Alligator mississippiensis: one gene and its partners. The protein of the gene in region 3 purifies or fractionates together with the protein of the main gene of each other region. This does not show direct contact. Links are inferred from orthologs where the notes say so. Each region holds a gene or a part of one and is shown on either strand. Other genes may lie near its edges. The genes, in order: CRNKL1, PPIE, DHX8 and NKAP.

What was found.
Region 1: the proteins of DHX8 (region 3) and CRNKL1 purify together in Homo sapiens (affinity purification with mass spectrometry; 3 studies listed by BioGRID and IntAct, counting the BioPlex papers as one, with this or other methods). This does not show direct contact. The link is inferred for Alligator mississippiensis from reciprocal best matches to the Homo sapiens genes DHX8 and CRNKL1.
Region 2: the proteins of DHX8 (region 3) and PPIE purify together in Homo sapiens (affinity purification with mass spectrometry; 3 studies listed by BioGRID and IntAct, counting the BioPlex papers as one, with this or other methods). This does not show direct contact. The link is inferred for Alligator mississippiensis from reciprocal best matches to the Homo sapiens genes DHX8 and PPIE.
Region 4: the proteins of DHX8 (region 3) and NKAP purify together in Homo sapiens (co-immunoprecipitation; 3 studies listed by BioGRID and IntAct, with this or other methods). This does not show direct contact. The link is inferred for Alligator mississippiensis from reciprocal best matches to the Homo sapiens genes DHX8 and NKAP.

Annotation. Positions count from the first base shown.
Region 1 is NC_081824.1:229,712,478-229,719,689, forward strand, and holds the start of CRNKL1 (crooked neck-like protein 1), read left to right. Parts: upstream 1-4,192; 5' UTR 4,193-4,250; coding exon 4,251-4,298; intron 4,299-7,212. UniProt on the Homo sapiens protein: Involved in pre-mRNA splicing process. As a component of the minor spliceosome, involved in the splicing of U12-type introns in pre-mRNAs.
Region 2 is NC_081829.1:4,837,341-4,845,276, reverse strand, and holds the start of PPIE (peptidyl-prolyl cis-trans isomerase E), read right to left. Parts: upstream 3,018-7,936; 5' UTR 2,956-3,017; coding exon 2,925-2,955; intron 2,766-2,924; exon of another isoform or gene 2,572-2,765; intron 2,491-2,571; exon of another isoform or gene 2,472-2,490; coding exon 2,373-2,471; intron 1,020-2,372; coding exon 976-1,019; intron 65-975; coding exon 38-64; intron 1-37. Other genes in the region: PABPC4 (polyadenylate-binding protein 4), read right to left, coding at 7,190-7,276, 7,363-7,493. UniProt on the Homo sapiens protein: Involved in pre-mRNA splicing as component of the spliceosome. Combines RNA-binding and PPIase activities.
Region 3 is NC_081827.1:152,956,932-152,964,563, reverse strand, and holds the start of DHX8 (ATP-dependent RNA helicase DHX8), read right to left. Parts: upstream 3,021-7,632; 5' UTR 2,980-3,020; coding exon 2,868-2,979; intron 1,234-2,867; coding exon 1,148-1,233; intron 521-1,147; coding exon 448-520; intron 17-447; coding exon 1-16.
Region 4 is NC_081831.1:72,523,298-72,530,390, forward strand, and holds the start of NKAP (NF-kappa-B-activating protein), read left to right. Parts: upstream 1-4,087; 5' UTR 4,088-4,115; coding exon 4,116-4,399; intron 4,400-5,147; coding exon 5,148-5,228; intron 5,229-5,765; coding exon 5,766-5,839; intron 5,840-6,024; coding exon 6,025-6,138; intron 6,139-7,093. UniProt on the Homo sapiens protein: Acts as a transcriptional repressor. Plays a role as a transcriptional corepressor of the Notch-mediated signaling required for T-cell development. Also involved in the TNF and IL-1 induced NF-kappa-B activation.

The DNA of each region.
Region 1 (7,212 bases), on a different chromosome or scaffold from region 3:
ACGGCTGCACATCCTAGAAGATGCGGGACAATGACAACTGACACATATACTAGGCTACCAACCTCGACCGATCCCGCCAACTGGTCCGGGCCCCGGAGGCACCCACGCCTAACAGCGCACTCTGGATAACACCGCAGCCTGCCCCAACAAACAACTACTCGAAGGGGGCATCTATAAACTATTCCAACCACTACGACATTATGCTCGTAGATATACAAAAGACAATTTTATTATTTTTTAGTTTTCTTTGTTTGTTTGTCTGTTCGTTTATTTTGTTCCCTTACAGGCCCAGCGGTGACGAAGAGACAATCTGTGACTGCCCGATCACAAAAATCACCGAACACCAATCTGCAGCACACCTGAGTCGACGACACAATGACCGCCCCTGCTCATATGTTGCAAGCAGGGTCGTCGCTCTATTCCTGCTGTTACCAACAGTTTCTTCGGCGAACGGAGCTGACTTCAAAACCTCCAACTCGGTCCTCAACCTTTTGTCATTTTAGGCCAAAGACATAACTAATGACTCATTTAATGGTTTTTCTTTTCCTGTTAATGATCTTATACATACTTGTTTGTTTTGTTTTAAAGCCTGTTTGAGACTTTACGCAATAAAACCAAGTCATAATGTTTTGAATAAAAAGCTCTAAATTATTAAAAAAACCCCAACATTGATAGTCTGAAGGTTTGGGGGATGTCACAAAAAAGTCGGATATAGACAAAAACATTGATTAAAAAAACGTAAAAAAAGAGATGAGGGAGATGATGATAAAAGGGGACAAATAGTCAAGGTTCTAAAGGAACCTATACATTCAAAGAAGAGGAAAAGAAATGGTTTGAGAAGAGAGGTGACAATAAAAAAAAGCCGCTAATGACAATACAAAAAATTGGTGTTTTCAGAGCTACGATTTAACTCAAATATAATAAGCCACAATTTTAAAAACCCTCCGTATAGGGGGCATTAATCTGATACCTCACTCTCAGTTACCTTAAAAAAATCGAATTAAAAAAAATTACATAAAATCAAAAATAACAGTTTACTGCGTTTAAGTTAATTCAAGTGTCGGCATCTTTGATTATCTTGTGTTTACCATGGATCATAATAGCCATTGTTATATTTGTGTGTTTTAGTTGTTGGATTTTACAATATCTCAAAACTAAGTTAACCACGCTTTTTGCTTTTATATACACTCGCTTGCCAAACACTAACAATGATAAACAAAATGGTCTATATATAAACATGATGTGACTTGCTGTGCCATGGACAAGGGGACATGTCACAACCAAATTAAATAGTGCCCATGTCACAAACAAGTAAAACCATTCAAAACAGTTTTTTTCTACACTAGGTTAACTAAGGGTTAACAATAATGATAGTAACCGCTTTTTTGCTGCGCATGCAAAAAGAAATTTATTACTGCGCCACTAACAGAGATAAAAACTTTTGCCTTCTTTGCTTTATATAAATCATTACAATTGGTCGGAATGACAGGGGAGTGTCCCTATGACAAACACCCTAATAAAAACCACTATACAATTGGCGATTCTCATTAAATTTATGACGTGACAAAAAACAATTGGCTAATATACAAATAAAACCCGTCTTCACTTCCGTGAAGAACGGGAGACCTCCGCACACACACCTAAAAAACCTCTAAATGTATGCGTAAAAATAACTGACAAATTGATCACTTGTCAGTCTCCCCCGTCTCGACCTTATCAGACGTAAATCAATGACCTGCCGGCCCGATTTTTTCTCCGTTTATCTGCCCGACCAACGAACTCTTATACAGACCGACCTATGACCTACGAACCTTAAGCTATAACTAACCAAGTATCTCTGACCTCCGCTATTCACCACCTTGATGGCATAAATAAATAATCTTGCTTTACAACCGATAAGCGTCCGCCTAATTAATTCCACTCCAAGCTTCACAAATACCCACCTGACAGCCTTCTAAGGCCCTGGACCCTTATCTGCCCGGGTGAGAGTCAGAGAGAGCTGCTGGCCGCTGCCCTGGGTCCTGACACATCTCATCTTATAATTTCTATACACTTTATAGAGACAGGAGCCCCTACCTCATCCCAACTTCCCAATACCATATTGCATCGCAGGTCCCAATCCTAGATGCTCATACTTGTGGGAAGGCCCCTATAACCACCCAGTATCCAAGTCACAGTCATGGGTTTTATTGTGTAGAACTAGACCTTACCAACTAAATCAGGGGTAGGCAATTATTTGGGCTGGAGGACCACTTAAGAAGTGGATCATGGCTCTGCCCCATGCTGTTACCACCCTACAATCTCAGCCCTGGCCCCAGCCACCCATCCTGTTCCTGGACGCTGCTCCCCGCCTGCCCGCAGCCCCATGCCAACCACCAAAACATAACATGCCCTGCCTGCAGGGGTCCTTGGCAGGTCTCCATGGAGATACTGCCTGCCTGGCACCCCTTCTGACCCTGAAAATCTATGAGATTGAGGGCAGTGGTTCTCTCCCAGGCCTTTTATCCGTATCTTCTCTTCCAGCTGGTCAGAGACTTTGACCCTCTAAATAAAGGCCTCTACCATCACTCGTTCACTGTACACATCCTCTAAAGGCTACTAATGTCACATCCCTTATTCACTAACACAGGCTCACATGGACTTGTTTCCCATTACAGGAAGACTAGCAAGAATGCATCTGCAGAACCAATTATGCTCACTTGGGCAAACAAGTGACCGTGTAAGAAAAATGTCAGCAGTTACAATGCTGCTGAGGGCAGAGGTGCAACCTCCTTGGATGGCTGACAGGCAGACCCAGATTTGCTAATAAGCAAAGGGAAATCCCCACTTCTTACATTCCTTAAGAGGCCGCCTCAGCGGCATGACAAAGTTGGCAGCTGGGGGGAAACTCTACGGGGGAGCATGGAGGAAGGCAGGGGTTGGTGCACAGGCTCTGACAGTTGGGGGACAGGGGGCCAAAGTTCTAAAAGGAGAGCTGGGGCGCAGCAGCCTTACCCATGCTGGGACTCCTACACCATCCCAGCTGAGCTGCTGCTGTCACCACTTGTGCTCAGCCTGCCTCATCTGTTGCTCTTAAAGCAGTAGCAGGCAAGCTGTTTCAGAGTTCCCAGGAAGGCAATGCTGCTGAGGCTCAGACTCCACAAGGGTGGTGGGTAATCCTGGCACCTCTCCTAACTTGGCATCAGGAGCAAGAGGCAGGGGCCTCTAGTAATGCTGTGGGTCTCCCTGCCCCACCACAACTGTGATTCCCCTCTCCTTAGCCATGCATCCCTGCACTTTTACATGTGAGGGCACTATATCTGTAGGGTGGCCCACATGCAGGGCTATTGTAGAATCAAAGAAAATGACGGTTAGGAGGGATCTCAGGAGGTCATCTAGTCTAGTCTTCTCAAAGCAGGATCATCCCCAACTAGATCATTCCAGTCAGGGCTTTGTCTAGCCAGGTCTTCAAAACCTCCAAGGATGGAGCTTCCACCACCTCTCTGGGTAACCTGTTCCTGTGCTTCACCACCCTCCTAGTGAGAAAATTCTTCCTAACATCTTCCCATTTGATGCCTTTTTTTCAAGTGAGCACATGAGAGAGCAAACTCTTGCTGAGGGCAGCTCAGCTGGGCTATAAAGTGTACTTCTCCCTGCCTGACTTCAGGCTCATCGGGCAAGCTGCCTCTCCCAAGTCCTACATGGCAAGCACCCGCCTGGCCGCGCAGACCTGCAACAGGGGAGGAGGCTGCGGCTGGGGAAGCCAGAAATGGCTAGGCAGCACCGCCCCAGGGAGGGCCCCATCACCCCGCCCCGCAGTGCCCCGGGCGGGCGCGAGGGGTCGCACAAGGGACGACCGAGGGGAGAGGGAGGAAATGTTGGGCGGCAGGAGTGCCGCGCGGCATGCTGGGTGTGGTAGTTCCGGCCCGCGCGGCATGCTGGGGGATGCAGTTCGTGGCGCGAGCCCAGGGGAGACCGCTGCTATCCTCGCGGCCCACAGCGTCACTCACCTCGGCAGGATGGAGCAGATCGGAGTGCCCGGCCCTCGGGCTGCTGGGGCGGCGCGGGCAGGGGCGGGGCGCCCTGCAGGAGCCGAGGCGAGCGGCGGCGCCGGGAGGACGCAGGAGCGGTCGCAGCCGCAGCAACGGATCAGCCGCGGGAGACGCGCCGCCGCCGTTACCGCGGCAACGACCCGGGCGACTCCGCGCATGCGCGCGGGGCGGAGGTGAAAGGTCAGGGCTGAGGCCTCTCGGGCCCGGAGAGGCGGTAACATGGCGTCTACGGCGGCCGGCAAGCAGCGGATCCCCAAAGTGGCGAAGGTGCGCGCGAGCGGTGCTGTGGGGGGATAGAGTGTCCGTGACCTGCCCCTCCCCCCCCCCCCCGCTCCTGCGGGGTGCGCAGCCCGGCGGGGTGGTGGGAGGGGCAGGGCCCGGGCCCGCGGCCGGGACCTACCAAGTGCGTGTTGCCGCGAGGGGGGCGCAGCTTGGAGCACCGGGGTGGGGAGGGTGCCGTGACGCAAGCGGCCGTCTCAGCGCCTCCTTCCCCCCCCCCCCCCCCGCTGCCAGGAGTTCCACGGTGATGGGATTTGTACCTTCATTCAACCCTTGTAGGGTGCACCATCAATCACAGTCAATGTGCTCACACTGCACACTCATTTTTGAGGAAGCGCCTTGATGCAAAACCCAAGTTGCTCTCGGGGAGACAACTGACCTTTGGGTTGTTGTTTTTTTATTAATATATTTAATGTTCCAGGTCAAATCAGCTCTGTATCATATCAATTGGGCAGAACTCAGTCATGCCCAAAACAGTGTGGGTTGAGCAGGTAGAGCTCAATAGTTGTAAACACTATGTATGGTGGTAGCATCCTCCATGCCAGCCTCTCATGTTGGGACTTTGTGGACTCCCAAATCTATTGGCAGGTGTCCTGCGTGCAGGCTCAAGCCTGGAGGTCTTGCGATTCAGATGCTGTCCTTGCAAAAGGCTGCTTGATCTTAGCCCACAAGAGGCCAAGAAGTGATTCAGATCATATCAATTGAGCTATCAGCACTTACTTGTGATGGCTTCCCTCAAAATAAAGAAATGCTCCGACTCTAACCCAGTTCTCATTCACTCCCTGGAAAGTTACCAGGAGCAGTATAGAGTAAATCACATTTATTTGCATACTTATTTCCATATTTTTCTGTGTACAATAGGTTTTTAAACACGTACAATAATTTTGAGCTTCCAATACGATAATTTCATATTTAAGACCTGGTAATTTAAGACCCTCAGATTTGTCACAGCTAGGCCAGGGCTGGGTCTCTCAGCCACGGCTTCTTCGGGCTAATAAATCATGCTACTGCCTCTCAGTAAACTCTTCTACATCAGCTTTGGGGTTTGGTCACTAAAAGGCACAAGTCAGGCCGGCCTTGGGGCCAGAGAGGTCCCCATGGGAGTCATGGCCTCTGCTGCTGCCGCTCCAGCTCCCAGTGTCCTGCCACAGGTTCAAATGAAAGCCAGGTAGAAATCAGCTGTCAAGTGGTTGCACATTTTCGAGCACTCACATTGTAAGCGGCTACCTCTTCTTAAAGCCGGACAGTCCTTTTTTTGCTGTGATAACGACTTTGGGCTGAATTTATTGTGCAATTGACTGCTTTGTTGTGTAATGTATGTAACGTGCAGCATGGGCCCCATTGGCAGCTTCTGCCTTTGCTGTGGCACCAGGTGACAAGCACGGGCCAGGCTCCTGCCCTGCATCCCAATTGGGCAGACTTGCTTGGGAGCCAGCGATGTCATGGGCGCTCCACCGTAGCCTGCGTAGAGGCTGGTGCACTTAAGCAGGGGCCTGTGCACAGGAGCTGCCTGTGTGGAGCTCAGTGCAGGATTGGAGCCTTTGCATGGCTGTACCTAAGTCACTCAAATGCAGATTTTATTTTTTGCTTTAAATAGTGTAAACAGGGGTATCAGACTTACCTTGTGCCCCAGGTCATATCCAGACCACAGGGCTCTTTGCAAGCCAGATGCATCCCAGGATATGAAGAAACTACAGCAACAGTGGTCGCTCTTGGAGCAAGCCTTGGCTACAGCTTTGTGTCGTGGAGGATGCACCCCTATCTGCTTGCAGACAGGACTCCCTATGGGAGGCTCATAATTAGCTTCCCACTGACCAGCTTCCAGTGGGAGGATCACAGCTACACATCGCCTTCATGGGAGACTCTTCTGTAGCTTGCTTCTGCGTCCATATGGCTGGGAGCAAGTGAAACATGGGGGCATCTGAACCCCAAGCTTCCGGGCTTGTGCCTGCACGTAGGATGCCTACCAAAGGATTTGGAAGTATCTGAAGCCCCAGACTTGGTGGAGGATACTTGCCAGTAATAGGGCCACATAAAGTTTTTGAATGATTCCAGGGATTTGGAACTGATCTGGCTAATTTAACCTGGAACACAAAAATTTTTCCTTCAAAAAAAAAAAAAAAATTGCAGTGGTCACAGTTCTGAGCTCTGACCTAAAGCACATAATAGCAGCTCCAGTCTGGTGCTGGAACAGTTGTCACATGTCCCATCCCACATGTGGTGGTAGCTCCAGCACAGGACATGCGGCAGGGACCAGCATTCTCCTTGTCCTCCTGCTGCCAATTGCCATGTCCACCCTGAATTCTGTGGCAGGCCACTCCAGTAGTCCAGTGGGCGCCAGGGGCTCAGTCTGGCCCCTGAGCGGTGTGTTTGACACACCTGATGTAGTGGAATGGAAATAAGAAAATGGAATCCTCCAGGCTACCAGTAGGGGCAGTGTTACTGCCACGGCATTATAATTAGTTACCTAGCCCAAGGGTTGGCGACCTTTTACAAACAGTGGACTGGTGCTTGCAATCTGGCTGCTCCCAATCCCTGCTGCACTGTTCCTTCCCATAGTGTCCCTGCTGCTGCCTCCACTTACCTGCATCTTCCAGTGCTGCAGATTTGCTGTCTGAAACATCAGTGAGGAGGGGTGAATTTGGCAGTGAGAGTAAGCACTGGCTGTTTTAACAGGCATGAGAGCTGCAGAAAGGGGCATTATGGAGGGGATCAGCAGCATGGTGCAGGGCAGAGAAGGGGAAGGTGTCAGGGCAAGCTGTTGCGTGCTGTAGATCCTACATGCCACCACAGGCCAGATCCAGACCTCTTTGCAGGCTGGATCCAGCCTGTAGGCTGCCAATTCCTGGTCTAGTCTATTGCTAATATTATGATCAGATACTAAGTCCAACATAGGTGACTT
Region 2 (7,936 bases), on a different chromosome or scaffold from region 3:
CCTAACAGTCAGGATCTGACAGGAAAAAAGCCCTTACCATGTTGTCAATAGCTGCTGCCGCATCCTAAGGCAAAAACAAGAAAGAATATTTTACTGCTAATTCAGCCCTGACGTCCCTCTAACCCTGTAGAAAAGGTACTTAGCACCTGGCCTGAAGTTTGGGTTTCATTTCACTCCACTGTCCACCTTTGGATCAATTTTTACCCACAGGTTTTCCTTTCTCCCCAGCACTAGCCCTGTAGCTTCCCGCTGCATCCGGCTAGGACCTTCTTAGTTATTTTTAGCCACAAGGTCTGGCAGCTGTGCAGCTTCCTCAATCCAGGTTTTTTTCCCGATCTGCATAAGATTCTGGTCATTTATCATGCTAATTTGGGGTCGGGGGCAGATCTTGGGAAGGGAGTATTGGACCAGGAGCAAAGGGCAGTTCATAGGGCCCATTAACCTAAAACATCGCTGTTAGCACAAGGGACTGAACTAGCCCTGGAGGAAAGCCAACAATGTGAACCATGGAGAAGCTTCTGAAGAAGCTGTACTCCAGTCCGAAGGTTGAAAAACTGCAGAAAAAAATAAAAAGAGAATCAAAGAGAAGTTGGGCTGGAAGGGACCTCCTGAGGTCATCTAGTCCAGTCCTCTGCTTGAAGCAGGATCAGCCCTATCCAAGCCATCCTATTCAAATCCATGGTCCAACCTCTTAGCAAAACTACAGTCAGCCCCAACACAACACCCAAGAGGTAACCCCCTAATCTGTGGAAGACCTCATAACAGTGGGACCAGAGAAGCAGAACAGAAATTCCACAGAGTATCATATAGAGCCAATAACACTAAAGAGTTAGTCATAAAGTGTAGAATCCTATTTCCACTTCAACCATAAAACTCCCATTGGATTCAACTGACACAGGATCAGGTAAAAAAAAAAAAAATAAAAAAAAATAAAGAAGAGATTTCAAACTGTGTTAAAATGTGCCCTTTTCTCACCTCAGCCAGCTCAAACTCAATGAAAGCAAATCCTCGGTGCTTCTCTGTGGAGAGACAATGAGCAGTTACCTTCACAGTATTACCAGGAAAACTTTGCCCCCATGAAAGTCAAAGCAGGAGAGGTCTGGTGCATTAGTTGGGCTACCAAGGGGAATCCACGTCTATGCTGCTGCCTCCATCTGAGAGTTTAGATTCTGTTTCAGAGACTTTCTTTCTTACCTGCTGGTACAAAGCTCCACTAACATCAAAGGACTCTATTATTTCTATCCTGCGGGAACATTAAACTACTCTTTATTATGATGTTAATGATGCTAAAATATCCAGCTAATTAATTCTCCAGTAATGAATTTTAACATTTATTTGTCCCACAGGGGGGGAAATACCACAAACAGGAAATCTTAAATGCAATCCTGAAATAAAGTCCCAGCACAGAGCAATCTGCAGCTATACAGAGCCTCATTGAAGTCAATTCTGTGCAGATGAAATTCAGTGCAGGGTCTAGGACCTGGCTTACAAATGATGCGAGGCATTGTTAAGCCCTGTGGGTTGCTAATTAGAAAATAAATGAATGCACACCATTTAAAAAAAACAAACATGAAAAACACACTTGGTTAATCTACTTGGGAAGCTGTAATCTAGTTGTAATTGTTCATGCAAACATTTCAGAAAGTCTTATAGGTTTGGCCCAGCAAAGGAGCTTTAGCAGTAACATCTGCTAGCAAATCTTTACTAAAAGGCAGGGAGTGGATGCAGGGGTGTGAGGGTGTTAAGCTCAGGGTGGGTTTTCATGATTCAGATACAGGCAACCCCCGCTTGGTGCTCTTAATTGATTCCTGAAAAACCGAGCGTTAAGCAAAACTGAAAGTTTTGGACGACCCAAGATAGCGACCGCAAGCGTTTTTAATGACTCCAGATGGCAACCGCAATTGCTGAGTGCCAAGTGAAACCAGATATCAATTTTAAATGAGCATTATAGCGATAGCGTCAAGCAGAAGTTGCCTGTACTGCTCTGAAACCTCTGAAATGGGTGGAGTTTGCTGGAAACCTCAAGCCTGTGAGGTTTCCCTCCTGCTCCCAAGCCTGCACGTGCATCCTGCAAATGCAGACCGTTTTAAGTGACAATAACGCCGATGCAGCAGAAAGATGCTGGGGTGCGATGTTTCAAAAGTGTTAGCGCCGGTATTACCATCGTACAGGGCTTCGTTTGTCCTTTTAGGAGTAATCAAACTCGCTCCCCAGGCTCGAGCTTCCAAGACTTCCTGGGACGCCGTGAACCCCAGAGCGAGCGCCTTGCGAAGGACATCCGACACTCCGCCGGGACACCGTAATATTACTCCTGAGGGAGACCCCGGCGCCCCGTGTGAAACGAGCCGGGCCGAAAGCCGGAGCCCACTCACCGGTTTCGTAGTCCAGCGGTATCTGGATGTCGGTGATGTCTCCGAAGGGGATGAAAGCCGCGTGGAGAACCTTCTCGTCCACCTCCTCGGCCAGGCCGCCTGCAAACCAGAGCGAGCACTTTAGCGGCGCGACGTGTATAATCACGAACGTTTCCCGGCGCCGAAGAGCAAGGGAGGCCGCCCCGCCAGCATCCCCTACCTGCTGCTTTCGTTCACGTCTCGTGGTGCCAAAGGCTGTTTTTAGGCTTGAATATGAATCCACTCCCCAGGGCCCACGAGACAGAGACAGAGACAGAGACAGAGACAGAGAGAGAGAGAGAGAGAGAGAGAGAGAGAGAGAGAGAGAGAGAGAGAGAGAGTGTGTGTGTGTGTGTGTGTGGGGGGGGGGGGGGGAGGCGCAGCCCCCTCACAACACGGATTTCCAAGCGCCTCTTTGAGGGCCCGTCGCAGGCACGAGTCCTGCTGCCTTCTGGCCTCGCACCGATGTTCACTCCAATATTCACAACTGATCCCACACGGCCCCCCACCCCGCCCCGGGGTCCCGCTCCTCACCCACGTACAGCACCCGCTTGGTGGCCGCCATCTTCGCTCCCAGCAGCCCCCGCGCGGCACCCCGGGACGTTGGGCGGCCCCGCCCCCGCGCAGCGCCGGGCGTCGGCCAAGGGCGCGTGCGCGCTTGCGTCACGCGGCAGGTGCGCCCCCCTCCCCGTGCGCATGCGTGCGTCTATACACACCCACGTGTAGGACAGGGGAGGTGTGCGCGACACGCGCGCACTCGCCCCTTCCGCGTCTGCACGTACGTTGTATAGCACCGGCTTTTGGGAGATTCGGCTCGTGTGTACACACACTACATATACACCATGCACACAATGAAGCTCACAAAAGCTTGTGCCAAACTATGTAAATATACAATATAGGTGTGTATCCACACCCACTGCAACAAGCTGTTGTGCTATATATATGGTACATAGATAACCAAAGGATGTGTGTGCACATGCACGTGTGGTGTATTTAATATATATGCATACACAGCTGAAGCTCACATTAGTTAGAAGTATAGACTCACCCAGTGTGTGCACACCTAGTATACATAATGACATCATCTATACATACATATGTAGCTGAGGTGTAGGTTGTAGCGGTGTTGGTCTAAGGACATAGGCAGACAAGGTTCCTTGGGTGAATTTGATATCTTTTATTAGACCAACCCAAATGGTTGGAGAATAGTTATTAAGCAAGCTTTTGGGTTCAAAAACCCTTCATCAGGCTAAAGCTTCAGCAGTTGGCATGTTCTTCCTGGATGGAATACGTAGCTGACACTCAAACGTTTGTGCTTGTGTGTGTGTCTATATACACATATACAGATGATGTCATTATGTATACTAGGTGTGCACACACTGGATGAGTCTATACTTCTATCATATAATGTGCATCTAGGAGGTAAGGATACACAACACACACCATAGTACAAACTTGTGAGCTTCAGCTGTGTGCGCTACCCCCTCCCCTTCCTTCAGTCTATAAAGTATAAATCTCATCTGCCCTGCCTTCTACCACTGTTATTATACCTAACTACCCATTGCTGAAAGGATAATACAATTCCCCCCCATCACCAGTTTTCTCTCACCTGTAGGTTAAAAATCTCTGACTCCAAAAATTATCCATATTTTTTTCATTGAGTTGATGTTTTGTGAGACCTGCGGCATAAACTACCTGGTACGGCTAACTAGGAGTTTGAGCAGCATCTAATGAATTGAACTTCAGCCCATGAAAGTTTGTGCTGCATATTGCATCTTATTTAGCTGGTCTGGAAGGGGCGTAGATCTACCCTGCTTTCTGCCTGCCTTCAGACCAATACAGCTAACTGCCTCTAACCAGGAGTCTGACAGTAGTTTCTCTGACGAGCTTCTGCGTAAGGCAGCTGCACAGCAGTTTGCTGAGGCATGGTTCGGATTAATCCCAAATTAAGCAAAGCAGCTAGGGCAAATTTATGAAGTGCAGTTGGAAAGAAAAAAAAATGCATTAGAAGTGGTCATCTCAAAGCAGCAGGTCCAAGGCACAAGCTGGATTTCTCAGGATATCTACCACTAGATTGCTCAGTTATCTAGGACACAGTATTGAAACTGAAACCTTCCTTCCTTGATTTTCAGCTTACCAACAGGAGACCCAAGGCACTGCCTTGCTGTGCTTCTGCTCCGCAAGCTTGTTCTATTCTTGGGCTTGGACACAGACCATTAAGTACCAGATTTCTAAACAGGTTTCTTGCATATTTTAACACCATGGTTTGCTCGTAACAGTGCAGCAGACAGGCAAAATGGCACATCAGTCTTGCATTTATACCCCCAAAATCAAAAGAACCATTTGCACTTTTCTAGCACCACTCATCCAATGGTCTCAAATGGTCTATAAACATGAATTAAACCGCTGCTCCCCTAAGCAGGCACCCTTATTTTACAGCGTTAACTGGTACGTGCTCAGCATTTCAATGGTTTTCCTTTAGTAAAATCTTCAAGTCATTGGACAGTCTCAATTCCTCCCTTCTGCCTTGATCTGGGCTGTGCTTGTGCTCTCCTGTATTCATGTTTATACCACACTCCATGCCAAAGGCTCACCCCAACGTCACAAAGCACACGCTAGTTCTACTGTCACTGAAAGGCAGCCATCTATCTCTAAGGTGCAGCATACACTTACCAGCGCAACACTACATTTGTGACTATTAAAAGGAAATGACAAGGTTCTAGGGACATATAGGGGTTGAAATACCACACAGAGATGAAGAAGAAATACAAAAGCTTAACATCAACAAAAACAAGAAGGAACTGTCAGATTGAAAGGAAGAGACGAAAAGAACACAAGACTTCTATGCACATTGACTTGGGTCAAGGGAGCACTGTTGATGGCCGATAAATACCTGTCTTCATGTATATTTCAGAGTATTGGGTGCATCTAACTGTTAAATTGGTTAGTTAAGTTGGATTTCTTAATAAAGTATTAAAAAGTGGCAGTATCCAATTAAAAGTGTATCTCAGTTCCTCCTACACAGTATGTAGTCATGCAGAATAAAAAACTACCAAAATCACTTCATCTTGTAGACTGCTGTGGGATTTTTAAATGAAAAGTGATCAATCAAACCCTGTTTCTGTGCTTAATCTGAAAAATGTTGCCCAAGACCACCTCAGAGGGCAGGGGTCCACTTAAATAAACTATCAGTTACAACCACCTTAGAGTTTCTTTGAAGATCCAAAACAGGGCCCAGTTTGAAGTCATAATTTAAAGTGGAGGTTTGGCCTAGCCACTTGTTAGCTTAAACAGAATAATAACAGGATTAAACATTTAAAACCACAATTCAATCAGACAGTAATTACCTAACAGTTTACTTCTGACCAGCAGAATAAATCCAGGATGGCTAAGCACACCGTGGGGAAGAGACCCATTTAGTGAAAGTTTTTATTCCTTTATTGATAAACACTTTCCAGATTTTGCAAACTGGATTGTTCAGTTAAAACCAAAACCACAAAAAACTTTCAATCAGAAATCCTTAATGTCCTGCTTAGAAAAGACAAAGGTTAACTCTGTCCTGGCCACAAAGGAAAAGCTTGCAAACTTAATCCTGGTCTTGGAAATCTAAAGCTTCATGGAATTGATTTTTTTTAAATAAGATTTTAAAGGTTAATTTACAAAATGCAATATGGTTATTTGGATATGGTGCATGGTGCGGAGATCTGCAGGACAGTTAAGAGTATCTTCAAACATCTTGAGCTGATGTCTATGAAGGGGCTATTTGGCTTCTTTGCATCCTGTGCGGGGAAAAAAGGTTAGAAAATTAGTTTGCTTTTTTTCCTGCCCCCATACAGGCATCTTGGTTTAGCGCAGACTGACAGTAATTTAAACATGACCAGCCCATTAAAAATTCCCAGATAACTTCTTATTCCTCTCACCGTGTAGGTTTCTATCTACAGTTGCTGATATTATCCACCTCTCCATAACATTATGCTGAAGGTGGAAATATGAAAACTTTGTGATGAGGGAATAATTATTGTTGCAATGTCAAATTATTGACAAGCAATGGCCAAGCTGCATACCGCACACTTTTACAACACGTATGCATGGTGTGTTTTCATTTTAAGCCAGTGCCTTCTAGAATGGAAGATTTCCCATAATCCTTTACTGCCAGTGCTCTGGCAGCAGTCCTGTAGAAAATGCCTTGAAATTCCTGGTAACTCCACACACATCCATATTAAAGAACTCATAAATGAAACAGTTGTAGAAAAGCATATGAACATCCAGTCCTAGTCTAAAGATACCCATCTAAAAAGGCATGGAAAAAAGAAAATCAGAGATTCTATAAGAATCACTCGGCAACTAGCAAAACCAAGAACCACACAGCAAGTCATGCCAAGCTTGCCAAGTCATGGTGTGCACTTCGGTGCTATTCTTGTCTACCTCAGGGTAACTGTCAGGACAAGACATGGACATTAGCAGCATACCTGGGTTTGGACAAAAATTGCTCGAGGCTGGTCTCATTTTGATGAATTCTATTCCCCGACACAGGTGAATGATTTAAAGGGCTTTATGAATTCCATGTCAGCATATTTTAATCTTCCAAACATGTCTGCTTGCTGTAAGGAACTACCTTCTTTTTTATGTGCTTATTTCTTCAAGATTAAAAGTGGAAGTTTCTATTTACAAGACGTAGTCTGGCATCCGATGCCATTATACCTAACCCCACTTCTTGGCAGTTTATATCCTCCCAAACTATATTCCAGTGAATCTAAGGTTAAGAAGTTCTAACTAACACACTCACCAGTCTTCCTGGTTTAAGAGGTAGCAGCAACCACGCCCACCTTCTGGGCAGCTTCTTTCTTGGCTTGGTGAGCCTGCAACACAGCAACAGCCTCCTCCACCTAGGGAAGACAAATTGCCAGGTAAGATCCATCATCTTTAACAAAATCACTCAATCCAAACTACCTTGAGAAGTGGGAGAATTTACCTTTGACCGGAGGGATTCTGGAGACTCCAGCATGTGCAGTAGCTCTGAATTGTCAATCTCTAGCAGCATTCCTGTGATCTTCCCCGCAAGGCTGGGGTGCATAGCTTGAATCAGGGGGAACAAGCGTTCTCCTAGGAAAGTAAAGTTCAAATGGTCTTTGCAGGGTGCTCTCACAGGTCCTTTGCAGCAAGTACAGCTAACAAGGGAAGCAGATAAGCACCTATCGAAGTTTTAAACTAGAGCAAACATTAGCTTTACATTTCCATGGCATCTAATTTCCATGCCCCACCCCTGATCTTTTTTTCACTACTAGTTTTTAGGGAACACTAGATGTTTTCAAGTCTAAGTCAGAATGCCCAACTACCATCATTTTTAAGCATCACTGTATCTACACCCAAACTACTGCGTGTAGGGGCTAGCAAAACACCCCTTATTTTCACAAAAAGGAGCCTCATGCATCCCAGTTGCTTGAGACTTTGTGCTTTAAAAAGCTCTGAAGTCAAATATGATAATGAGAAATGTGTTCAGCTCCCTCGCTGTGCAGAAGGCAGCAGGACTGACTTCCGAATCATCA
Region 3 (7,632 bases):
GGTTTAATAATTGCCTCTGGATTAAGAACAAAAGAAGCATACATAAAATTTGTTAGAAGTTTATTTTTATTACTTGGCTAAAATAATTGTCTTTGTCATTTCTGAAAAAGGGATAAACTTCAGCTTTGTGCTAAATGTTAGCTTTACTGAAAATTTTGTAATATTTACATTAAAAGATAACTACATAATCTCCCACAAAAGACAGCCTAATTAATTAAAGATTATAACTTTCTTAATCCTGCATTTAATAAAAGAAATCTCTCAGTAGCCTAGAAGCTCTGTCTTAACACCTCAAATCACACAAATTTCTGCTGTAACAACAGGATATATGGAACACATCCACAAAACTATGAGGAAGGCTATCCCAGTCAAATCCAGATTAGTCAACAAATAATTAAAGAATTAAACAGTTTTCTATTCTGTTGAGAACAGCTAGATGGCACTTACCTTTGCTTGTAGATGGCTTGGCTGGGGGACGCATCGTCTGTATGAGGCGTAACAAATTACTAACAAGGGAGTCCTGAAAAATTCAACAACAACCCCAAAGACATTTTCAGAACTCGTTGTGGAATTCTTGCAAACTAACACAGACTATAAAACAGTGACAAGTGCTCAATTTCAACTTCTAAAGATGAAAACTCATGTAGAAGTAAAGTTGGGTAGTCCAGGAATTCACGTGCAGACCATAAAAAGTGTAGTTCTTTTGTACAGAAACACAAAAAAAAGTCTTGATTGTAAAAACAGTTATGAAATTCCATTTAAATTACTCTCCCGCATATCACTGTTTTTTTTACTCTTTCAGCATGATATTGGAACACCATAAACAAATTTTAATAAATATTTGTTTTCACACCAGTTGATTTTCCTGCACTGCATGTGCTCACCAATGAGACACCAAATAGTCCAAATGAGTCTTCAAGATTACAGCGTGCTTCATATAAATCATATCAAATATTGTTAATAAAAAAAACCTGTGCTGGATAGAAGTGTTTGCAAGCCGAGATACACAAACTACTTTTCAGTAAAAACAGTCGCATGTTAATTAACAAACACTTCAGCTTTGTAACTTTTTTTAAATAGAAACTGGCTTTTACAAAGAGTCTCAGGATAAAGAAAGGACATGCAACAGGGTCTAAATCTCACTTACTGTGAACTCGGCGCCATTCTTTAAAAGGACAGCTTTAAATGTGTCAAATGTAGTGTTTTTCTCAGCAAGATTTATCACAAATTCCGCTGTGAAGGAAAAGCAGTAGAGTAAATTAAACAAAATTAATGGAAGCAGATTCAAACATGTTCCATTGTGACGAAAGATAGCTGGCTTGGCAACCCAAAATAGTGAAATCTCCCATCTATTCATCAGAAAGGTGGAACATAGCCTTCAGCAGGGCAGGCTTTTTGTCTTGCCACTATCTCTGGTTTAATTTTGAGAAGCCAGACCTGGAGGAATCACATCTAGGTGAGAGAGAACTCATTTTCTAAGTAAGCATGTAAACACTCTGAGGCAAAAACCATCTTTTTCTTCTGTGCTGTATAGGGCTGAACACAATGGTATCCTAGGCCATGACTAGAGCTTATAAGTACAGTCACTAAACAACATCAAACCATGGAGGGGAAAGGTGCAGCACAGGCTCTCCTTAGCTTCTAGTGACACACTGACAAAGCTGCCTGGAGATGGTGCTCTTCAATTACAAAAGGGTTCACAAATAATCCAGGAAGGAAGGTATGAGCTATGAGAATTCACTCTACTAGGAACAAAAAAATGATTTCCTACAAGAGCCATAATGATCCTTCCAGCAGGGAAAGATGGCAGATGCTCTCCAAAAGACAGGACCTGCAGCGGCACTACTTCACATGAGTATATCACTTGAAGAAAAACCTGACTTGGCAAACCTGCCATAGCAGCAGTGTTGAGCTGAGCTCTCACCAGGTTCTATTAAAACCCCAAAGATATGGTCAGGACTCATGGTGGTTTTCTTGCACAGGACCATGATAAGTGCTCAATTCCAACTTCTAAGGATGAAAGCTCATGTAAAAGTAAAATTGGGTAGTTGAAGAGGCAACCCAACTTTACAACTTTTACTTTACTTTTAGTCACGTGCAGGCTATAGAAAGTACTGACCACATCCCCTCTGCTCTACGGAGAGAAAACTGAGCAATGGCTCGGACCTGAGGCCAAAACGTAGCACCAAGTGCTTGAGCTCCAAGAATAATAATTACTATTGAGTATCTATAGTGCAACAGGGCCTGGGAAGCCCCACCATGCAGCAGGACTCTGCTGTGCTCAGGTCCAGTCAAAGATATATGACAAAAAACAGTAGCCAGAGGTGAAGGCATGCCAGAAAACAGTGAGACGCTACTGACCAATACGACAGGCAGTGATCGCGGCACAGCCCCTGCCTGACCCACATAAACACGGTGTTAGGCCTGGCAGCAAAGGAGGCACTTTTTGGTGCACATTTACAAAGAGCTCCTCTCCAGCGTGCAGGGGCAACACGGGGAAGGGTCTGGAAGCACTTGGAAATGTGCCGAGCAGGCAGTGAGGGCGAGGGGGGGAGAGGGGCTGGGCTGCCTGATCAGCACAACTGATCTCTTGGCAGCAGCGCATGGGCCGCAGGGAGGAAAGGACCCAGCCGCAAAGGGGCTTGAAAAGGAAGGCGACCGGTCAGGAAAGGGGCAGAGGGCCGACGAGGGCTGAGGGAGGCGGGGTCCCTTGTCAAGCCACAGGCACTGGGGGAGGTGGGGGAGCCTGTGCGGGGGAAGCAGATCCCAGCAAGGGGAACGCGGAGCCGGGCCAGCTGCGCCCGCAAACGACGGCCCGGGCGGGGGGGGGGGGGACGACACAACAGACCCGGCTCCGCGCGGCTCACCCAGGTCCTTGTCGTTGATGCCGAGGTGGTTGTCCAGCTCCGTGCACACCTTGGACACCAGCGACAGGTACTCGAGCTTCGCGAGCTCCTCGGCGCCCACCAGGTCGCCCATGGCCGCCGGCCCGGCCCGGCCCGCCGCCCGGCACTTCCGGGTCCCGGGGAGCCACAGAGAGGAGGCGGCGGGGCCAGAGCGCCCCCTGTTGTGCCGGCGCCTTCGCCGCTGCGCTTCCCACAGCCACCGCCATGCCACAGCGACGCCGGGTGCTCCAGACACCCTGGCTCGGAGCTCCCCCTGGCGGCCATCCCGCAGAGCGCGCCCGGCGGCCTGCTCCCCGGGCCCCGGACGGACCTGGCAGGTGGGAAAGGGGGTGCAGATGGTGAGGTGCCTCCTCACGGAGCGCAGCGCAGCACACGTTTTCTTTCCTCCGCGGAAAAAGAAACGACGAGCTTCGCTCGGAGCCCAGGATGGCTGTGCCTCGGCTCAGTTGAAGCAAAGACAAATGCAGCTTTATTGGGCTGTGTGGGTGTGTGCTTTACGTATAAAAGCGCAACAAACGAGGAAAAATAATCAAAAGCTGCTGCTTCATCACTCCTGTTGTCATCGAAATGAAACTATTTTTTTTTTTCAAATTCAGCAAATGAGACCTGGCCTCCTTGAGCGTCTTGAGCATGCATCCAGTGCTTTGTGGGAAGTTATCTCCACACCTGAATTCATGTTGTTAGGTACAGTCTTGGGCGGGGGGCTGTGAAATACAAGCTACGTTATCAGAAGCAGCTAACAAAAGAGGTGCAAAAGAAAGGATAGGTTGATTCATTGGTGATGCATAGGGGGTGCATGCGGGTGCACATGCACCCCCTGAGCATGGCGGTGCACCCCCTGCAGAAAGTCACCTGCGGGCAGTTGCAGCTTGCCACCAACACTGCCAGCAGTGTCTGCGGGTGGTCCCCCCCGCCACCGACAGTGCAGTGGCTGCCTGCAGGAGCTCCCCACTTGCAACCACCATGCTCCTGCCCCCAACAGCACTGTTGCAGACTGCAGGAGCTCACCATGCCACTCCAGCCTCTGGGCGCACTCAGTGTTCATGGATTGATTAGTAGGTTTTTGGGGGTAGCCATGTTGGTCTCAGGACATAGGTAGGCAAAGTTCTTTGGGTAGATGTGATATCTTTTATTAGATCAACTGGGTAGTTGGAAAAAAGTTTTTTGCAAGCTTTCAGATGCGATCACCCTTCTTCAGGCATAGGGAGTCTCTGCTGTTCTAAGACTCCAAAGAAGAAGAGAAGCTAAAAGTGTGACAGGATATCAGTGAGAATGAAATAGGTGGAAATTAGGAAAACAAAAGGTAGAGCAGGAAAGGGAGGGGAGAAAATGACAGCAAAAAAAAGCCAAAGGTAAGTATGGGAGACTCTAATAGTTTTCCAAGGTGGAAAAGAGGATGAATATGAAAAAGTAAATAGCTGGAAATTGGGAAGACAAAGGGTAGAAAAGTAGGGGAGAGGGGGGAGTGGAGGAGAAAGAAAAGCACAAAAGGTCAGGTCTGGCAGGTTGTAATGTGTCATAAAACCAATGTCTGTATTGAGTCCATGATTTTTTGTATCCAGTGGATTTATGAAGTGAAGTTCGTAGGCTCGTCTACAGAAGGTGTTTTGTAAGTTCCCTTTGAGGATTAGAACTGAGAGATCAGGGAGGGAGGAGTTATTGTCTTGTGAGAAGTGTGCCCCCACAGGTAACTGGGTGTTCTTGCCTTTGATAAATTTACAGTGTGCATTCATTCTGGTGTGCAGTTGTTATTTGGTTTCTCCTACATATTTTTCCATCAGGGCATTTGGTGTACTGGATGAGATATAAAACATAACATTTCTGGAGGTGCAGGTGTAAGATCCAGGAATGGTGATGGTTCTGTTGTGGGAGTGGTGGAGATGTGTTGGTAGGTTTTGCATTTCTTGTCCTGGCATGGTCTGGATCCATTCAGTGTGGTTTGGGTCATAAGGAGTTTGCTTCTGTGATGAGGTTAGTGAGGTTTGGTGCTTTTTTAAAGGCTAGGTGGTTCTGGAAAAATCTCTTTAAGAATTAGGTCTGCTTCTTATGGTTTGCAGTTGCTTGAGGATTTTCTGTGTAGGTTCCAGAGAAGGGTCATAACTAATGGTGTGCGGCTTGTGGTGATTTTCTTTTTTTTACTGCACCAAATCTTTCCATGGTATCCGGGTGACTCTTTCAAAAACATGATCTATCTCACTGGGGAAGTGTCCTTGTTGGGTGAAGCTATCACAGTTTTAGCTTCTTTCCTTCCTTGGAGTCTCAGAACAGCAGAGAATCCCTAATGCCTGAAGAAGGGTGATTGCGCCCAAAAGCTTGCAAAGAACTTTTTTCCAACTACCCAGTCCGTCTAATAAAAGATATCACACCTACCCAAAGAACGTTGCCTGCCTTGATTGATCAGTGAAACATTAAGACCATCACAAAGGAGAGAGTGGTGTTAATAACTAAAATAAGGAGTTTAGAAGGAGTTAGGTAGATTATAATGAGCCACAAAGTCAAGTGATATCCTCACCACTGCCTGAATAGAAATGCTGCTGCCACTGCCAGACAGTTAGTTTTAAACTTTAGGTGGAGCAGGAATCAAAGGGGGATGCAACTGCACCTCTTCCCTTGGATCCACCCTGACTCTATTACAGTACCTGGCTATTAAGTGCTGTGGGAACCATTTTGCACTGAACAAATGGTTACTCTGGTTTGAAACAGACCATGGGAGGGACCCACATGGCATGTATGCCTACGTCACTTCCTCTGAAATAAATTTAGCTCTGATTTTCTCAGGAGCAACTTTACACTACAGAACAATATTTCCTTCAGAGTAAGTGCTGTGCATGCTGCACCTGTTCCACTTTTCCTCTGGAGTAAATTGCAACTATACCAGAGTAAACGTGCCATGTGTCTGCACCCTGAAACTGGAAGGCATAAAGTAGAGTGCAAACCCACCACAAAGCAGCAACTAATGCGACAGTGGAAAGATCTCTAGATAAATGATACACCTTTTACTCCAGTATCCAAAATAGGAAGGAATGTGAGAAATAACAAAAAGTAGAGATAAAGTGTAGAATCCTTACAACACGTGAATTTTGTTCTGAGCATACTTACCACTTTCAGAGGGTTATAGGTATAACTGCTTAACTCATGAGCCCGTAAGGATTGCTGTTAAATGCTTTATGCCGTTTAGTGATGGATGTTAAAGAAAGCCCTTAAATAGATTTGTAGTGTAGCTATAGCAACCCCTCGCTCCTACTGTGAAGGTCTTCAAAAAGAGGCTAGATAATCACCTCGCTGGGGTCATTTGACCCCAGCATTCTTTCCTGCCCATGGCAGGGGGTTGGACTTGATGATCTGCTCAGGTCCCTTCTGACCCTACCAACTATGAAACTATGAAACTATGGTAGCTCTGCAGAGTCCTGCAAGGTATAAGAGGAGGAGAAAGTATTAAACTGTTCTTACTTAGCATGCATGAGGTTTAATTGAAATGATACAGCTTTAAAGATGGCTATTATTCCCCCAGGAAAAAAGAGTGGGCCTAGCAGTGATTCCATTGCATTCCTGTGTAGTTGAATAGCAGTTTAAAAGAAAAAAAAGTATGTCTCCTATTGCATTTGAGGCAGAAGAGGAGAGACTAGGACATTATAGATATGTCTATACTACCATCTGCAATGCAGCATAGAGAGGCAAAGCTAGCTTTAAACTAGCTAGCTGCATAGTCCAGAACTCAGTGCAGGGAAATTTTACTTCCCTGTTTTGTCTTTTGCTAGAGGATTCATGTCTAGCCCTGTTACATGAAAAAGGAATCTATTCCGAGTTAACAAAGGGTTGGGGCGGTAAGAGGGCAGCGTACTGGGGAGAGTAGTGAATACAGTAAAAATGCAGATACCCTTAAATTCCACAATGTAAGATTTTTTTTTCACTGAGACTTTCTTTGTACCTTAACATGACCCTAACCTGAGGATAAGACTCCTGCATATATTTCTGTTTCCATTGCCCTCTTCTTCCTGAAGTAAGAAATCATTAGTGGGTTCCCCCTCCCAGAGCTATATGCACGCTATGTGCACTGTACGTCACCAAGTTTAACTGAGCCGCAGAAGTTGGGGTTGATCTGGTCTAAGGACAGCTGTAAAGGGGCTGTGGGCTTGCAGCTCCCCTCCCATTGTACATATATCCATGGCTGAGTAAGGCTCATTAGACTTCAAAGGACAGTATAATTTTCCTGACTTTATAAAGAAAGTCATTATCATGACAGAAAGTGAGCAACAGCTGATCCCCTCTCTCCCAAACAACAGCCAGTACCCTTTCATTAATCGCTACTCTATTCTTGGAGGCATTGAATTATTTACATGCATTGATATCCAGCTTCACGTAATATGATAATACAGCAGCCAGAGTGTCTCATGTTGATGGCTAGAGGGTGAGGCAGATGGACAAGTAATCCATAGCCTTGATTTGCCTGAACTCCAGAGCAGTTGAGCTGAACAGATAGTAAACACCTTGTCACCCCAAGGGGTTGGGACAATAAATTACCTTTGAATGGAGATACAGTACATAAGTATGCAAATTGGATGCAGACAGAAACAGCCTCTGGTTGAGCTTAGATTCCAAAAATGCTAATGTAGCCAAAGGAGCCCTGCAGTGTCTGAAGGGGATGTAGAACAACATTGCAGCAGAGACGCTGGGTTTGCTGTCCTGTGGCTTTAGTGTTTGTATCGTTCTGGAATCTATTCCTGCC
Region 4 (7,093 bases), on a different chromosome or scaffold from region 3:
TCCTCCATTGGCCATCTGTTTGCACCTTCCCAAATCTGAAAGTCCTCCCTTTCATCCTTGCCCGTAACTCTTTAATTTTTCGTTAAATCGAGGAGGCATTTTAAGATGCAGTTTACATATGAAGAATTGCTTGAAGAACTTTATGTTGTATTTAAAAAACAAACGTATATTGGGCGCCTTGCACAATATGGGGTGTTTGATGGACAAGAACTGGGATTCAGGTAATCTTGGAAGCAAGAAGATAAAGATGCAAAAGCAACCGTTAATTTATCGATAAATAAATGCTTCAAGAAAAAATAATTTTTGAGGGGAGTTCTAATTATCATTATAAAGTGCAAATGTAAAGAATCAAATTATACGGTCTCTCAGAAAGAAGGAAAAAATCCCCTACAATACAGTGATAAAAAGACGACACATCTACATGTGCCCCTACAGCGCCATTGTTACTGCCCCACCATTTAGTGCTTCCTTTTGGAAGTATTAAACGACGGTGCGAGAAAAGTCCATACCGTACGGTGCTGGCGGTGCACAGTTATTTTTAGCCGCTACGTTGCTGTAGCAACGCGCTATAGCAAGGGAGCATGTTGCTACAGCAACATAGCTGCAACATCACAGTTTGTGTCCGCCGACACTACATCGCCATACCGTGTTGCTATGGTGATGTAGCGTGTTGCTACGGCGACATAGCATCTTGTGTAGACACACCCAGAAAGTGTCAAATGAAGCCATCTTAAGAGCTGTTTTCTCCTAAAAGAACTCAACGGAGAATTATTAGGGAATGAAGAGCTCCCTTCAAGGCTTGATGGGTCAGGAAAGTTGGTAGAAAAAAATTGTAGTGATAAACATTTATAATTTAAAAGAATATAAAAAATGTGATAAGGTAACGAGACAGAAACAAACCCCCATGCCCATGTTGGGACCAAGTGACATTTCAGAGGTAGAACCCTTAGTAATAATCCAAGTCTGACAGCAGTCTTATCTCAGGAGCATATCTCAGGATACAAATATGGTATCCAGGGAAATATTTTGATTCTGAAAACACTAGCAGACAGTAAAGCACTGATTTCCATCTGCCACCTACTTCATGCCCACTACTGCAGTGTTTTACTTAACAGTCAACTTTTTATGATTGCAAACCATGATTCAACTCATTAAAGTCTATGGGTGGCTTTCTATTGACATTAATGGGAACAAGATCAGACCTACCAGCTTTTAATGTACAGAGTATAAAGATTATATACCTCATCTGTGTAAAAATGCTTTGAAGCGCTTTACAAATGTTGGCCAGCTAAGCATCTTTATCTTCTATTAGAGACTAGCCAGGAGCACTAGGTAACTGAGGTCTCACGGATTTGTAATGATCGTGAGGCATGACAATACTTTCAGCAATGACAGAGCTATCCCCACGTAGCCTCATAAAGACAGATAACACAAGACTGTCACTCACAGCACAGCTCTGCGATCCCTCCCTTAGAACAAGTCATTCTTACATGAGAATATATTTTTACCTATTTTAATATACGTTGTGATTAGATTTCCTGCCACTTCCAGATGCTGCCCATAACACGCACAATGGGTGTGGAAACTGGAACAGTTTTCCATCCATGAACTAGCTGTTGCATTTATGCCTTACTTAATTTAGATCTATGTAAAGTGGCGCATGCCTTACAGTAAGGAGTACCATTATGAAGTGATTCTTTAGACCTGATGTTTACTAGATGTTGGGACAAAGCAAAGACTCTTACCCCACACATGTTTCTTTAAAAACATGGAGTTTTTTCTGAAGAAAACAGGTTCCATAAAGATTTCTTCCCTAATGTTGTAAATGAAAGAATGCTAACTCCACAGGGCAAAGAACTGCTAAAATGTGATGTTTGTGACATTTTGGATTATGACTACATTACTGATGCCGAGTGTATGATGCTGCTGTTTTGTAAGGATTAAAATAATAAAGAGAAAGTTAAAAAGAATACCCACACCTTCCGTGGTTTTCCATCTAACTGTTAAATCTGGGCTTCTATGGATTAATGAAAACCTCAGGGAATTTTGTGCCAGTGGTTTTTGTGCTTCAGTGCTGCTGTTCTATACGACTGGGACTGGCTGAAAGCCTCTGGTAACCCCAGGAGTGTTTACACCATTTGCAACAGCACTTCCCTGCATCGTGTCTCCACCCCGATTGGGAAAGGCCCCATTAGGATCAACAATATAAATCAGCCTCTGCAAACCATTAAACACTGATGAGCAGTTATTCACACAATAATCAAACTAAAGCTAATTCAACTCCCCTTACAGTCTGGCCTTGACTTTTTTCCTGCAAACACCAACAATATTATTAGTCAATGCTATTTGTGATGGTGGGATTTCTGTAGTGCTGATACCTCCCTTAGAAACAGAGTCAGAAAAAAACATCAGATAGAAACCATTTTTGGTTACATCAGCTGGGTTTGGCTCAAAGTTGCTCTGGAGATGAAAGGCTCCACGCGCCTAATAACTCCCCTTAGCCATCCAGCTCTCTGAATGGCAAATATAGGAAATACAGTAAATTCATTTTTTAAAGCCAAAGGTGCTTAATAACCAGCCTAGCTGTGTGTCTGCAGTGTATAGGAACATGCAAATTACCATTTTTTTTGGTGGGGGTGTGACTGAAGGGAAGTGAAAGGAGAATTGTTGCACCTTGCACTCCCACGTGCAAGTAGGAAGATTCAAAGTAATTCTGATTTTTTGGGAAAGGGAATTGCAGGGCCATGAGCTGTCCACTGGAAAAGTGCTGTTTTCCCTCATTCTGAGGCCTGTTCTAGTTGTGGACAGCTCCACAGATCCCATGGAGCGGAGTACAGCTGGCACAAAAGGTCTCGCTCGGGCAGCTTTTATTTTAAGAGCAACTTGAGAGATTAGCATTTTGATTCTCAGCCCGACTTGGCCTCCTAGGGAGAGTCCGGTGCAACGTGCTGCTGCACGGAGGTGGTTACGTGCACAGCTGAAGTCAGGCGGTGTGGCACCTTCGGCGTGAACTGCTTCAGACAAGCACGAGCTTTTGTAGGCACGACCAACTTCGTCACGTGCAAGGACCGGGCTGGCGGACTGAAAAGATTTTAGGGGTGCACATAGGAGCAAACGGAAATGTTTCCACGTGAAACGTGCTTGGAGAAGGAATCGTTTCAGTCGTGACCGCGGGGTTGGGGGCGCCTACGTGTCACCCAGCTGCAACATCAGACGCGACGCGAGGGCGCGACGAGGGGCGCGGTGAAGCGAGGCCCCGCTCCGAGAGGCTGGAGCGGATCACAGACGGCACAGGGAAGCGGGGCTGGAAGGGACCTCCAGAGGTCACCTAGTCCAACCGCCCGCCCGAGACGGGACCAGCCGTCTCCAAACCATCCCGCTCACCCCGGCACCCGAGACGACCGCCAACCCTGACGCGACACGAGATGCGGCACCCCGGCCTGCCGCGGGGCCCGGGGCAGCCGACGCACGCTCAGGAGACCCCAGGCCGCAGAGGAGGGCAACCCCCCCACGCCCCCGGTCCGTACCAGGCTGACCAGGGGGCACAATCCTGACCCCAAACGTGGCATGGCTCCAGCGCTAAGCGGAGGGGCCGGACCCTGCGGCTCGGGGCCCAGCGGGAGCATGGGCCCAGCCTGCTCGGCGCCTCCAGCCTGGGGGTCCAAACCCCCTCACACAGGCGGGGGGCCCAGCCAGGCCCACACCCTGGGAAATCCCCAGCGCCCGCACAGGCCTCGCCGCCCCCTGGAGCCCCCGCCCGGGGAGGGGGGGGATGGGGTGCCCCCTCCTCATCGCCAGGGCAACGGGCGCCTCCTACCTGGGCCGTCGCCCCGCTGCGCGCTCATGCTGCCGCCGTCGCACGCGGGCCCGGGAGCGCGAGGCCGCCGCCGCACAAAGGAGCCGGCGCTGGGAACCCGCCGGGAGCGCCTTGTTGCGCGGCGGAGACGCCGCAGGGGAGCACCCGGAAGTGGAGCTCCCCGCCGGCCGGAAGGCTTTGGCGGTGACACCTGGGACGGCCGGAAATGGGAGAGCGGGGGTTCCGGTCCAAACCGGAAGTGGGCCTGCCGGACGGGTTTGCTGGTGCGCCACCCGGAAGTGCGCCCCGGGCGGCCGCCATGGCCCCGGCGTCGCGGTCCCGCAGCCCCGCCGCGTCCCCAGGTTCCCGGCGCCGGAGCAGCCACGGCCGCGGCTCCTCGCCCAGCCCCTCTCCGCCCCGCCACAGCCACGGCCACGGCCACGGCCGCCGCTCCCGCGAGGCTTCCAAGGCCCCCAGCCGCCGACAGGGCCGCAGCCGCAGCCGCTCCCGGCCCCCGGCCTCGGCTCACCACGGCCACCACCACGGCGGGAAGCTGTGGCCCGAGGACTACGAGAAGGAGAAGGAGGAGCTGCTGCGGCAGAGGCGAGCGCGGGCCCCGTCCCCTCCCCCGCCCGCCTTAAAAAGGGAGCCCCTGGGGAGGGAGGCTGCACACAGGAGCCCTCCAGGGACGTCACCCCATTAAAGCGAGTGTCCCGGGGGCGGGGGGACAAGGGAACGGTTTCCTTGAGCAGCGCGTGCCAGAGAGGAGCCCGCAGAGGTGACGAGCGCACGAACGTGCAGCCAGTCTCGGCTTGTCCTCCCCGGGGCCGCGCTCCTGGTCTCGCAAGGCGCAAAGCTTTCTTGGGGACCCACGCGCGTGATAAAGCCACTTCTGCGATTTGTTTTGCACTGGATTTGTTTTGCGTTGTAATAAATAGCGTGTCTGAAATGACTCATTTGGACGATTGCTCCAAATTCCTGAACGGAGCTGTTGTGGTGTGACCAAAACGCCCGGTTTATTAGGCTGCACAAAAAAACGGGCGTGTGCCTCCTTCTAGGTCTGCCTTGGTTTTCAAGACAGATCGGCCTGTTTTTGTACTGAAGACAGACCGACCCCTTTGAGGACTGAGCAAAACAAAATTCAGTTGAGTCCTGTTCTTAGATGTAGTGTTTGGCTGTGGAATTAAAAAACAACGTGAAGTGTTTCCATTGAAGAAAGGGTGTCCCCTCATCATGTCTGGCCTGGGAGATTAGAAATGCTAGCATGCAGAGATACAAACAACTCCGCTTTTGAATGTACATTTGGGAAGAATAGTACGTGGGAATTTAATGCTGATGTGGATCTTCACAGGAGACTAAATGAGAGAGAGAGAATTGGAGAACTGGGAGCACCTGAAATCTGGGGGCTTTCACCAAAGGTTCCTGACCCAGAGTAAGTAACATTGTCTTGTGGTTGCTCCCCCTTCTTTCTAGGACCCTTGTGTGTAGTAGTGTCCCCAAATAAAGCTATTAATAATTTAATTACTTCAGTATATTTATAATTTCTATTGTGTATCTTATGTCAAGCTAGAATAAAACTTTACTTACTATGTCAGTTAAAAACATTTAAGTATTTAGTTGACCTAATTCTACTCACTTTGGTTTTCTGTTTGTTTTGCTTTTTTAAGGAAGTCCCGTTACACACATCAAAAGATCACTAGACTGATATGATCAGTTCATGATATTTCATATAATCCCGAAACACCCCTTGGAGAAGACGCTCATATGTTGTCAGTCAGATTAGGATTCTTTAGTAGTGTTTTTCTGAAAGTGACTTGTATATTTTAAATTGGCTGCTTAATGGTTTAATTCATGACTGACTCTGACTCAGTCTCTGAATCTATACACATTTGGTCATGTGCTTGCTTTTGGATAATTATATGATCTTTGCTTTAGATCATAATAAGTTAAACTCTTTGTTTCTTCTCAGTTCTGATGAGCATACTCCAGTGGAAGATGAGGAGGCAAAATCTAAAAGCAGCTCTTCAGATTCCAGCTCAGAAGGTATTTAATTTTTACTGTCAAAATAGTTTACATATTAATAGAACTTCTCAGGCTAGTGCCTGATCGTGTTATTTGCAGAGAAGTTCATTGACTTCTTGTAGATTCGGAAGCAAGCATGATACCAAGATCAAGAAGGATTTATGAAGCTAGACTGTGCTCATCTGGTTTGTAACGCTCTCTTTCAGAAGAGAAAAAGAAGAAGAAGAAAAAGAAAAAGAAGAAAAAATCATCAAAAAGGAAACGCAAAAAGCATTCTGAGGACAGTGACAGCGAGTCCGACTCTGAGCTGAACTCCAGTGGTAAGAAAACAGCTTCTCTTGGTGTGTATCATCTGAAACCTTCTCCTGTATGTTTGCAGTCATGGTCAGTAATGCGCCTGCTTTTTGTTTGGTATCTTCCTGATGTCCTGAGGTTTTGTTTCAGTTGCTTAATCCGTGTTGTGAAGAATAACCTGTAGGAGATTTTGGTAATTGTGTCCATGTCTGCTTTCAACCTTAACTACTTCGTGTTCTGTTTAAGAATCAAGTGTAACATTTTCCTAGTCCCTCTTCCTCTTCTGATTTCCTTACTGCCTCTTACATGTGGAAAAGCCTGTTTTTGCACTAAGCGATCACTCAAATCTTTCCTTAATACACCTGTAATATAGAGTCTTTCAACTTATTACAGCAGTCTCCTAGCGCAGAAGGATCATAGCTCCAGCTTCAATGCATGAGGTTTGGCCATCAGGGAATGATACCCTGGCTGTAATGTAGGCCATTAATTTTCAGGTCAAGTGTGGTAGGAACTGGAGCAGACTGTGTGATACTACATGTACCTGCTTAAGCATTATTTCTAGGGGTGCCCCGATAAAGATTTTTTGGTCAATACCAATGGCTGATTATTAACTAGCCCTATTGGCCAATACTGATCCGATAGCCAATGCACAGCCCAGCAGCTTGAAGAGCAGTGTCCGGCTGGTAAGTCTGTGGGGAGGAAGGTGTCTGTGGGAAGGAAGGGATGTGGAGGGGCCAGATTGAGGCTGCCACAGTGAAGGAGGGAATGGGGCTGGAACAGGGGCAGGTGCTGTGTAGCCAGGGTAGGGCAAAGCCACAGGCCGGGGGTGCAGGGTGGGGAGAGAGGGGGTGGTTCTCACTACTGTGCACACCCCTGGGGGAGGTATGTGCTCCCCAGATTTGTGCATGGGGTGAGGGTGAGCTGCCCGTTGCAGACTTGGGGTCAGGGGATGCATCAGGCTCTTCCCGGCAGAGGGGTTGG